2 linked regions of the Arabidopsis thaliana genome follow. The protein of the gene in region 2 interacts with the protein of the main gene of each other region in a biochemical or structural test. Each region holds a gene or a part of one and is shown on either strand. Other genes may lie near its edges.

Evidence for each region.
Region 1: the proteins of RPN13 (region 2) and DSK2 form a complex in vitro, tested with the Arabidopsis thaliana proteins (one study listed by BioGRID).

The regions. Positions count from the first base shown.
Region 1 is NC_003071.7:7,481,365-7,487,070, reverse strand, and holds DSK2 (ubiquitin family protein), read left to right. Parts: upstream 1-1,830; 5' UTR 1,831-1,980; coding exon 1,981-2,209; intron 2,210-2,321; coding exon 2,322-3,086; intron 3,087-3,380; coding exon 3,381-3,613; intron 3,614-3,689; coding exon 3,690-3,803; intron 3,804-3,983; coding exon 3,984-4,036; intron 4,037-4,428; coding exon 4,429-4,457; intron 4,458-4,629; coding exon 4,630-4,713; intron 4,714-4,789; coding exon 4,790-4,938; 3' UTR 4,939-5,190; downstream 5,191-5,706. Other genes in the region: AT2G17210 (Tetratricopeptide repeat (TPR)-like superfamily protein), read left to right, coding at 1-1,673. UniProt on the Arabidopsis thaliana protein: Binds and presumably selects ubiquitin-conjugates for destruction. Prefers multiubiquitin chains rather than single ubiquitins, with a binding affinity for 'Lys-48'-linked ubiquitin chains.
Region 2 is NC_003071.7:11,310,179-11,317,163, forward strand, and holds RPN13 (regulatory particle non-ATPase 13), read right to left. Parts: upstream 5,347-6,985; 5' UTR 4,842-5,346; exon of another isoform or gene 4,565-4,841; 5' UTR 4,540-4,564; coding exon 4,507-4,539; intron 4,419-4,506; coding exon 4,326-4,418; intron 4,134-4,325; coding exon 4,074-4,133; intron 3,834-4,073; coding exon 3,720-3,833; intron 3,611-3,719; coding exon 3,544-3,610; intron 2,704-3,543; coding exon 2,625-2,703; intron 2,188-2,624; coding exon 2,066-2,187; intron 1,979-2,065; coding exon 1,955-1,978; intron 1,750-1,954; coding exon 1,655-1,749; intron 1,362-1,654; coding exon 1,284-1,361; intron 1,214-1,283; coding exon 1,159-1,213; intron 1,087-1,158; coding exon 1,004-1,086; 3' UTR 779-1,003; downstream 1-778. Other genes in the region: AT2G26600 (Glycosyl hydrolase superfamily protein), read left to right, coding at 6,549-6,615, 6,821-6,985.

The sequences.
Region 1 (5,706 bases), 3.8 Mb from region 2:
TTTCGTCTGTTCAAAATTCGATCTTGTGTATGTACGCAGATAGTGATTCTTTAAGTGCACGTAAACTGTTCGATGAAATGTCTGAAAGAGATGTTATTTCTTGGAGTGTTGTAATCCGAAGTTATGTGCAGAGCAAGGAACCTGTTGTTGGATTGAAGTTGTTTAAAGAGATGGTTCATGAGGCGAAAACAGAGCCTGATTGTGTGACTGTGACAAGTGTTCTCAAGGCTTGCACGGTGATGGAGGACATTGATGTTGGAAGATCAGTTCATGGGTTTTCGATACGGAGAGGTTTTGATTTGGCAGATGTGTTTGTTTGCAATTCACTTATTGATATGTATTCAAAAGGATTTGATGTTGATTCAGCATTTAGAGTATTTGATGAGACCACTTGTCGAAACATTGTTTCATGGAATTCGATTTTGGCTGGGTTTGTACATAATCAAAGGTACGATGAGGCTCTTGAGATGTTTCATTTGATGGTGCAAGAGGCGGTCGAAGTGGATGAAGTTACAGTCGTGAGTCTTCTCCGGGTTTGCAAGTTTTTTGAGCAGCCATTGCCTTGCAAGTCAATACATGGTGTAATAATTCGGCGTGGATATGAGTCAAACGAAGTGGCTTTGAGTTCTTTGATTGATGCGTATACAAGCTGCAGTCTTGTTGATGATGCAGGAACCGTGCTTGATTCGATGACGTACAAGGATGTGGTGTCATGTAGCACAATGATCTCTGGATTAGCCCATGCTGGCCGATCCGATGAAGCAATCTCAATCTTCTGTCACATGAGGGATACGCCCAATGCTATCACCGTCATAAGTCTTCTTAACGCATGCTCAGTTTCAGCGGACTTGAGAACTTCCAAATGGGCACATGGGATTGCTATCCGGAGAAGCTTAGCCATCAATGACATCTCAGTTGGTACCTCTATTGTTGACGCATACGCAAAATGTGGTGCCATAGAAATGGCGAGAAGGACTTTCGATCAAATCACTGAGAAAAACATCATCTCTTGGACCGTGATCATTTCAGCATATGCTATTAATGGTCTACCGGATAAAGCATTAGCATTGTTCGATGAAATGAAACAAAAAGGTTACACACCAAACGCTGTGACATATCTGGCAGCTTTATCAGCTTGTAATCATGGAGGATTGGTAAAGAAAGGTCTCATGATCTTCAAATCAATGGTAGAAGAAGATCACAAACCTTCATTGCAACATTACTCTTGCATTGTAGACATGCTTAGCCGAGCTGGAGAGATTGATACGGCTGTGGAACTTATCAAGAATCTTCCAGAAGATGTTAAAGCAGGGGCTAGTGCTTGGGGAGCGATTCTTAGCGGTTGCAGAAACCGTTTTAAAAAATTGATCATTACCTCAGAGGTAGTAGCTGAGGTTCTTGAACTCGAGCCCTTGTGTTCTTCAGGTTACTTGCTTGCGTCAAGCACATTTGCTGCAGAAAAATCATGGGAAGATGTAGCAATGATGAGGAGGTTGGTGAAGGAGAGAAAGGTTCGGGTCGTTGCGGGTTATAGCATGGTTCGTGAAGGAAACTTGGCAAAGAGGTTTTTGGCTGGAGACAAGTTAAGCCAGAGTGATTCTGAATTAAATGATGTCGTTCAGAGTCTTCATAGATGCATGAAGTTAGACGATACTGCAGGACCGATAAACTAAAGCCCTTTGGGCCTCAACGAAGCAGATAAATGATATTATTATACGATGCCGTATGTATTCTCGGATCCGGGTGAGAAAAGGAACGAACCGGGTTTTGTTTTTGACCCGACCCGGTCCCTTCGATCCGTTCTCTGAAGCAGAAGTCTTCTTGTTTTGTTCTCTTCGATCCATTTCGTCAAGCAATCTACCGAACCGACTCAGAGCTTTTGAGTCTTCTAAATCTCTATCGAATTTTTCTAGGGTTAGGGCTCCTGATCGATTTCGCGAGCTCTGCGATTATTTTAAGTATTAGGATCCGAAATTAGAAATGGGTGGAGAGGGAGATTCAAGTCAGCCGCAGAGTGGTGAAGGAGAAGCTGTGGCTGTGAACATCAGGTGCTCTAATGGCACGAAATTTAGTGTGAAGACGAGTCTCGATTCAACGGTGGAGTCTTTCAAAGAGTTGGTGGCTCAGAGCAGCGATGTTCCAGCTAATCAGCAGCGCTTGATTTACAAGGGTCGTATCCTCAAGGACGATCAAACTCTCCTCAGCTATGGTAATCTTCATCGTTTCTGATTTATTCGTGTGGGTACTTTTGTTGTTCTCGTAGATCCTTATTGATTGAAATTCTTGTGGATTCTATTCTCTGTGGAACATGTTATACCTAGGTTTGCAGGCTGATCACACCATTCATATGGTTAGAGGCTCTGCACCTTCTTCAGCACCACCTCCTGCTCCGGCCGCAAGCCAAACCACTGCACCTAGTGTTACTCGAGGGGTTGGTTCAGATAATAGCTCGAATCTAGGAGGAGCGAGTCCTGGGGAATCTTTGTTCCCTGGGCTTGGATTTAATCCTCTGGGTGGTGGAAATGCTATGTCTGGGTTATTTGGAGCTGGTCTTCCGGATCTTGTGCAGACACAGCAACAACTAGCTCAAAACCCTAACATGATTAGAGATATGATGAATACTCCAGCCATCCAGAACCTTATGAACAACCCAGAGTTTATGAGGAGTATGATTATGAATAACCCTCAAATGCGTGAGCTTGTAGATCGCAATCCTGAGCTTGGTCATGTGCTCAATGACCCAAGCATCCTTCGTCAAACTCTAGAAGCGGCAAGAAACCCAGAGCTTATGCGTGAAATGATGCGGAATACTGATAGGGCTATGAGTAATATTGAGTCTATGCCTGAGGGATTTAACATGCTTAGGCGTATGTATGAAAATGTCCAGGAACCGTTAATGAATGCTACCACTATGTCCGGGAATGCTGGAAACAATACAGGCTCCAATCCATTTGCTGCTCTGTTGGGAAACCAGGGGGTCACTACGCAAGGAAGTGATGCTTCTAATAATTCTTCGACACCAAATGCTGGAACGGGGACTATTCCGAATGCAAATCCACTTCCTAATCCTTGGGGTGCTACAGGTGGTAAGTAACTGCATTTTCATCTTCTAATCTCCTGTCGATTTTATTTGTCTTTTGAAGGATGCAGTAATATTTTATAAATGAAAAAGTGGCTTGTTTATAAGAAATGGACGTTACTGTTCACTGCTCTGCTTCAGGAACAATATTGTGTATAGTAAATTGGTGAGTTAGTGTAGTTACCACAATTTGTTGTTATGTGTAGTTTTTGCATATGATTTTCTTGGCTTATTGTTTCTAATTTAACATTTACTCATAATACACTAAATATAATTGAACATATTGTGGGCTACTTGACAGGTCAGACAACTGCCCCTGGAAGGACAAATGTTGGTGGGGATGCGAGGAGCCCTGGACTTGGTGGCCTTGGTGGTCTTGGAAGCCTTGGAGGCCTTGGTGGACTCGGTATGCTTGGAGCGGATTCACCTCTTGGTGCGACTCCAGATGCTTCTCAATTGAGCCAGTTATTGCAAAACCCAGCCATATCGCAGATGATGCAAAGCGTATTTTCCAATCCACAATACATGAATCAGGTAGGCCTAGAATGATCTGAACTTAAGAGCCTTTTACCATTGTGAACATATATTAATTGTTTTCCCTTGATTCCAGCTTATGAGTCTTAACCCACAACTCCGAAGCATGCTAGATTCGAATCCTCAGTTGAGGGAAATGATGCAGAACCCAGATTTCCTTCGTCAGTTTAGTTCTCCGGAGATGATGCAGGTTAGTTTGTCCCCTATTGTCTGTATGCATATGAATTTTTAACATGGTAGTCTCTCAAAAGAAACATTTCTTTGTATCTAAGCTATTTTCAAGTAAAGAAGTTTCTTTTCTTTTTTTTTTTTGGGACAAAGTAAAGAAGTTTCTTAAACCTAATGTTTTCTATTGTTTTTTGGTCTTCAGCAAATGATGACTCTACAGCAATCACTATCTCAGAATAGAAATACAGCCAGCCAGTAAGTTTTGTTAAAACCCTTCGTTGTTTGGATTTGCTTAAACAAAGTTGAGCATTTACATGTCCTTTACATATTGTTTTTTGGGTTGTTTAGTGTTTAGACAATGTTGTAACTAGCTAAAAAGATTGGTTGTGAACGATCTCTATAATAAGAAAAGGATTGAACCATGACTAATGCAGCAACTCTTGTATGATTTACTGGGCTGATCACTAGTAACATCTATCAAAGAGGCTATAAATAAAGCATTTTAATCGTTGGAATACACTTGAATAGGGCTCATAACATTTTGTTTGTTTTTGATTATGCCTTTTAGCATAAGCTATGTGTGTTAATCTCCATATTTTGATTTTCATCAATCCGCATTCATGTTCCCAAATCTATCTTCTCTGTAGGGATGCGGGGCAAACTGGTGCTGCCACAGGTACTCTTAAAGATATTATATGTATTTATTCTACAGTAGTATAAAGGGTTTAGTTATGTTACGTAGTATAGCAGCTACTCTTTAGTTCTCTTTGCTTTCATGTATGTTTTATTTTAGCAGATATTGTATCGTATACAAGTTAATAGTAGAATGACAATACTGATGGGGACAGGAAATAACGGGGGGCTGGATTTATTGATGAATATGTTTGGCAGTCTTGGTGCTGGCGGCCTGAGTGGCACGAACCAATCCAATGGTTAGAGACTACAAATTTTTTTTAGCTTACGCATCTGTTGTGATGGTTCCACTGAAACTTGTCTGTTTGATTCCAGTTCCTCCTGAAGAGCGGTACGCTACTCAATTGCAACAGTTGCAGGAAATGGGATTCTATGACAGAGCAGAGAACATTAGGGCGTTGCTTGCAACCAATGGTAACGTTAACGCTGCTGTAGAACGACTCTTGGGGAGTATCGGACAGTAGCATACAGGTTCATGAACTGATGTCTCTCCATCTGGCTTCTCAGTTATAGAATAAACAGCTTGAATGTGTGTTTTTCAGTAATGATATATTCATCGAATTCATAAAAATTTATATATGATAGGATCGTGAACTTTGTTGATAGAAAAGCCGCATCAATACGGTATTTGTTATCAGTGGTCACTCTTCGTCTTTAACTACCCTTAAACCTATATATCTTGGGTGTTTATCTTTGATAACTTATTTCAAGTTGTTACAACATACAACATCTGTAAATGTTTATAGACATCAAAGTGAAATTGAACCCATTAAATTTTTGGTTCCTTCTGATCCGGTTCAAAGGTTAAACCAAATTGCCCAAAGAGAGAAGTGGCATGTTGCAAAGGAATATCCAATTAGTTGATTCATCATCTTCAATTAGATTCAAGTTACAGCCAATTCCTTCCTGAACTATATACCAAATGCCTCAATTTAGACCCGACCCGGCCCAATCTTACCCAGTAAGAGTCGTCGATACGTTCTCTGAAGCGCAAGTCATTTCTGGATTCTCATTTAATTGGCCGTTCGGGGCCAAATAACTCTTTAATTTTCTGCAGTCTCATTTGTTATTCGACCAAAAATAATTTATATCCCTTTCCTCAAGAAATCTTCAGAACCGACTTATTAGAGCTTCGAGTCTCCTCAAATCTTCTTCTACGATTTTTTCTTCTAGGTTTAGAGCTTTTGATTCTCCGATCAATTTCGCGATTTGTTGAACTAGGATCTGAAATT
Region 2 (6,985 bases):
ATTTATCAAATAATAATTTGAACAAAATTTATTTTTGTCATATAACTATAATACAACAGATAGTTTTCTTTGTAAATGTGGATGAAACAATGATAAAGTGTAGAAAATAAATGAGACAAAAAATTTGTTAACAAAATTCAGTTTTTCTTACCCTCCCGAACTACATCCAGATTTCGATTTTACTAGAACTAGAAAGCAAATAGAATATATTCGCAAACGCGTAAACCAAGTACAACCCAAACATACAAAAAAATATGGTGAGAAGACACATAAAGAGTCAAAATGATTATACATTGTATTCCAAAATTATTTTTGTTCTACAAGATTAAAAGAAAAAATGATATTTTACAAAAAGAAAAACTACGATATTTATTGAAATCTGTATTTATTGAAATCTTACAAATCCATCTTTAATTTTTGCCTCTTTTTCCTATCCTTGTTTTCTTTTTGGTTTAGCCTTGTTCGTTTGTTTGCAAACAAATTTGCATTGATAGTACTGGTAAATGGAAAAATCATGAGACTTAACAAGCATCGCAACATGTTTATTAAATAGAAAGACATCATTTTCTTTGATTACGCTTTACTAGAAAATGACCTAGGCGTTGCAATATTTGTGGTGGAACATTTGAGAAATAATTTGGTGATAACTGATCAGTGATAACCTTCGTATGGTTGTGAACTTGTAAGTGAATATTGACATTGACTTTATGTTACACGGATATGAAAATTATGAAGAAAAAAACAAAGCATATGAAAATTATGAAAAGTTTTTCTCTATGGTTAGGGTTTTCTTTTTCCTATTGAAATCGTGATTCCGCATGTCCTAGTCTAATTAAATCGTAAAATTGATATAAATGCTTAGAAACCTTTGTGGCAGAAAAGGAAAATCCCATGATGATCCTTACACTTTCATGAAAACTCCATAAATGATCCACCAAACAACGAAGATGTTTTTCTCAGTTCAATATCAAAGTTCGAACAAAATCATGAGAATATGAAAAGATTAACTCTCATCCATCGCATCCCTTGATTGCGTTGAAACCGAGTCTTCAAGTGCTTCAAGGAATGAGTCCACTGTGAACTTGTCTGCAAAAGTTAAAACTGCATAAGAGAAAAAGAAACAACAAGAATGGAAACAACATCGTAAGAATCACTCACATTTACTTGGGTCTATACCAAACTGAGTCAAATCTATTTGTCCTGTGCGGAGTACCTAAAGAGAGAGATGTTGAGTTAGAATATCGACCCAAGAATGGAAACAGCATTGTCACAGATGGGCTTACATAGGTAAATGCATCTACTTGTTGACGAAAAGGAGGGCTCTGCAACAACTCCAGTATATCTTCTGCCCTAGAATGACCCTGTGATTGATTAGATTAGCCTTTGGGTTAGTCTGGTACATGACCAATGTGATTAGCCTCAGCTTAGCTTTCAATCTCTTGTTCTTTAAGCTTTAGCAACGGGTCCTTTAACAAGAGCTAAGGCTAAGGTTTCGCATCATATCAATTTGGTATCAGAGCCAGGTTAAAGGGAAGTTTTTGCTTAAAACCTCTGGTCCATAACAGACATTTTCAGAAGACAGAACTAAAATGGAGAGAATTGCATGTAATGTTCATATTCATAGAATACAGAAACATTGAAGACCAAGACATACCTCAGGTAAATGCGAAGATAGTCGTTCTTGTACCGGCAACGCCTCAAGCAATGGCATTATCAACTCCGGTTTCAAGATATCCCCTAATGCTAAACCTTTGAACGATATAACAAGAGTGGACGATGAGGTCAGTAATGAACAATAGTAGAGAGAAAGAACAATTAACAGTTGAGAACATATTATTGATCACAGAAAAAAGCTGGGCACTGCCATTTCCAACCAATGCAGACTTTAGGATAAATATATAATGTCTTCGCACCATATCATATACAAATAATTTAAAACATTGAAATTATTTACCTTCGTCTTGATCTCCAGCAATACCTAAACATTACAACCGTACCTAAATAAGTATAAGAGGGAAACCAAAAAATCCTATTGATAGGAGAACCTAGAGATAGAGAATTGTACCTACAGGGCCACCAGAGAGGTTGTTCAGAATTCTTTGCAGGTCTGCCAGCTTAACCGGTCCAGAGGACGATGTCACGTCACTCACCTCTGAAGACAAATTTGGTACAACCAAGTTTCCCGCTCTATGCAAGATGAAAAAATTCAAATAAGCCATAGCATTCTATATAAGCTAATACTTTTCACATGGTATTCAAACTGCAAATCAAGGATATTTGTTGAAAATCTTCACATAATAACGAAAAACATATGACTCTGAAATTTAAGCTTTCCGAATCTCATCAAAAAAGAGTCTGATAGCTTTTCGCAGAAAATCTATTGACCCCTGAGTGGCCATGTCTACACAACTTTAATGTGCAAAGTCCATTTACACAACTCACAAGTAGGATGTAAGTTACCAAAGCATTCCACAGATGCAACATAAGGAAAAATAGCAAGAAAATATATGTTTCAATGACACTGACCACAAAGCAATCAACCCATTTCTGAAGATAAAATGGTAAGCCAGTTATGTACTTTGCAAAACCGACAGTGAGACTATCACTTTGACATTAATCAGTACCTAGATGATGTATTATCCTCTGCCATGTCTTCCAGCTCCTCCGTGATAGCAGCTGCAAGTCCTTCTTCACCAGGAAACTCTGGTGCACAGGAAAATTTATTAGATTGATTCAACCTTTTCGTCTTATGCAATTGACTACGTATTGTCACTATCAAGCATGCGTAATACACATAAAGAGATGAGAAAATAACATTTACATGCTCATATGTGAATTATTGCAGAATCTTAGTGACATTATAAGTAAAAAGGCTACAATTTGTGGCGTCCATTCCATCTGGGATAAGAGAAGTTTTCGAGTGCTAAAAAACAATAACACATTTTAGCTCCTCACTTCAAACTTTTCTTAATACGCAAACCAACAATGACAAGCAAGAAATCAAACATACTCTTGCAAATCTGATCTTTGATATATATTAAAAACTTCTTCACCATTCAGTCGATAAGCGCATTAGACTGATTGGTAGTCACACTCAAGATCCATTTACGCAGGAAATTTAAAAAAGTGGTTCCTTCTATGGTACAATTACAACTAAATTTGGATTCGATGAAATATAAAAGCAAGCAGAAATATGGATTTGAACCAGTGTTCTACAACCAAGGCGCCACCTATTCGTGGCAAATTTTTTCATATTCATGATGGAAACGATTACATGAGCTAATGAAAAGAAATTGTTGTGCATGCTATTTGGAAAGGGAAGCTCCTTATAAATATTAGTACCATGAAACTATTACCAAATCCGCGTTGACACATAAAATGCCAGATGAATGAATGTACGAAGGAATATGTATTTTAATTTTAAGGATAAGAAAGCTAGTTTGCTCATCATGGAAGTTGGAAGGTTAAACAGTAAGAAAGACATTAGTACAAGGATGCAGTCATATCCTAGACTGTTTGTAACAAGGTAGGAATGTTACATGCCTAGTGGTTGATTGAGGTATTGATTGACTGAAGAGCACAATTCTGCATCACCTTCAGCTCTTGGCTCCTGCAAAATAATTTAGAAATAGAGTTCTGAGAGACAAACAAGATCAAAGATATAAGTGATTAAGGTGAACAAACATACAAACATATCTTTAAGAAAACAAACAAGTAACCTGCATCCAGAAGAATAACTTGCGGTCATCACTGTTGAACTTCAGAATATACACCCTGTCTGAGGATTGATTAACCTTTTCAAATAGAGCTTCATCTGGGAAAACAATTTGATCCTATAAATAGGTATGGTCAAGGAGAAAACTTCGTAACTGGAACATCTGGTAGCAACAATTAATAAATCCTTCAGTTTTTGTTCTATTCATGCATGGCAAAAAATAAAAAAACCTCCTAGGTGGATAGAGCTAAGAAATTTGACCGTCTTGGGTCACGAATCCACTGGTATAGCAAAGACTTGATACTAGGAGAATCTCTAGTCCTTTTCTAAAATTCAAAAAAACAAGTGCAGAGGATACATCTTCTACTGTATTCTGGTTTCGATCAAGCCACTGGAAATGAATCAGTCCCTCGTCACCCTAAAAGAAAGGATAACAGGATTAAAAAACCTAGGTTAACATTTACAGAGAACCAGTAATAAACGTGTTCTGACACCAACAATTAGATTCCGATATGCTTTAACTTCAATAGGAAAAGCTGATACACTCCAACGTTCAATGGAAACGAATAAATTCAAATTACTAAATGGAAACTAAAAGCGTCGACATTACTCTAGCTATGCGGACAAGTCCTTTTCGTGCATCAGGGACAACTCTTGTTCCCTGCAAAGACATCTTCCCAGCACGAAACTCAAGCATGATCTCCTGCCAAAATTAGTCCAAACATAAGTGTAAGAACCTTCGTAATTAGTCTAAGAACAATAAGAGAAAGATAAACACCACCTATAGTTACCTGCATCACGGGAAACGCTTCGCTTGAACTCATAATCACCACCTCTTTCTAGTGAACACTATTCAGTAAACAGAGAAATCAGAATAAATTCAGCTTGGTGCTCTTAGATCAAGGCTTAAAACAAGTTCTTCTGCAAAGTTTATTGACAACAATCATATGTATACTAAAGATAACGAAATCCGTGAAAATTGCAAAACCAAATCTCGAACAGAGCAGATTGAAGCGAAGATAACAAAACGCTAGGGTTACCAATCTTCGTAGAAATTGAAAAAAAGAGAGAGAGAGAGAGAGATTTACAACCTTAAGGCTAGTGTGTTGACAAGGTTAAAGAATACCTTAGCAGAGGAAAGTTCGCGAGTAATGGATTTTGGAGAGAAAGAAAACGCTTCTCGTTTTTTTTTTTCTTTCAATTGCGTCGTCTCTTGTGTTTTTTCTTTCTTCTTGTATAAACAAGGGCCCCTATAAGGCTACAAACAACAATTCATCCGAACAACTCCAAGCCCAATCCGAATTTTTCTTCATTAGGCTTTTAATTTTTGGGTTTGCTGCAAACAAAACCTGTAAGTCAATTTCGTTTACAAATCTACCATTCATATCCGAACTATACAAGTTAATCATATGAACTCTAAAGTCATCCGCAAAATAAACTTCGGTCATATCGATGACGTGACATCGCTAAAAAGGACATGAATTTCATTAGTTTCTTGTGCCATAAAACATAACAAAAAATGACATGAAAATTAAAGAAAATATCCATTGAAATATCGATTTGGGGGAAACATTAAGGTTTAGAGAGTAGTTCATTTGGAAGAATTCGATATGGGAAATGATGGTATCGTGATCCACTTAGATTACAGAGTGGTTCGATTGAGGTCATATTATTAATCTATATTAAGAGAGTCAAATTGATTTAGAGGGTTTTTCGAAATAACTATCTTTTTTATATAAATTTTAAGGTGCAAATGATTGCCTAGAATTAAGAAGTTGAAAGAATTGAATGAGCATTCATCTAATATTTTACCATTTAAAATGAATAAGTTGGAAAAATAATACAACCATTTCAAGTTGGAAAAATGAACTAATTATTAAAAATAAAGTTATAACTTGTTCATCTCATATTTCGCAGAGGAATGAGTTGAATATCGCAGAGGAATGAGTTGAATAGTATTCAACTTTTTTTTTTCAACTCAAATTTTCTATTTTTTTTCATCGTTATCCAACCATTTGCAGCCTTAATATATTCAGTTCAAGTGAATGATCAGATCACTTAACTTAGAAAACTCACATTATTTATTGCAAACTTAATCACTTGATTATTCCATAATCTAATTAGGCTAATTCTCTACCAAACCTCTCTCATATCACTTAACGCAGCCAATATCTAAATAGTCTGCTAAATTCTCAATCATCCATCTTTCTATACAAAACTAAAAAGTTAAATTATAAAGTCTACAAGAAAAGTTGGAACCCTAGTAAACAAACATACATTTTACAAACAGAAAAAAAGCACTTGAGAAAAAGTAATACAATGAGGTCCATACACGTCTGATTTAGCTGTAATGTTGGTACGTCCAAAGAAACTCACCGTCCAACCACATCACTACTTAACCACTACGAAATTTCCATCTTATTATTCTTCTTTATCATTTCTTATTAAATTCAATTTAACTTCTTATTTTAATAACCAAATAAAAAAGTTTCAACAAGAATAAAAAAAAAGTAAAGTGTTATTCATATATTCGACAGTGACGAAAACAAGAAACTCCAATCAAACCCAAAAGCCCAAAACCCAGAAGAACAAAAAATCTCTCTTTTGAAAATTCTCCTTTTGCAAATCATTCAAGTGAAGCACAATCATCTTCTTCTTCTTCTCCAGCTTCATCAATCTCTTCTAGACTTTTTGCGTTTACCTGAAAAACTGTTTTGATCGTAAGTATCTGATTGCTTCGATGTCGCTGTCGAATCAGATTCCCGTTTACTCTCGATGACCCTTTGCTTCTTCTTCCACTTTTTTTCCACAGTTTTCTGATAACTCTTCTCAGATGAGAAGTTCTAAGTTACTTCTTCTCAAGTTCTTCTTCTTCTTCTTCTTCAATCTGACTTCGCTTGGTACAGTGTCTTTCTATTATTAATTCTATTGCTAAAAAAAAAATTCTAGGTTAAGTTTAAATTTCAATTTTCAACTCTTATTACGATGTTGGGTTTTGCTAATTTCGTTGATTGATCAAACATAGTTGAATCTTAAATGTTATGATTTTGAATTTCTGGTTGTTTTTTTTCTGATGATTTTTTTTTTTTTTTTTTGATCTTTAAGAGTATCAAGTTGATGGAGCATTTGTTGGAACATATGGGATAAATTATGGAAGGATAGCTGACAACATACCATCTCCGGAGAAAGTAGTTTTACTTCTAAAGCAAGCTAAAATTCGGAATGTGCGTATATACGATGTAGATCACACTGTTCTTGAAGCTTTTAGTG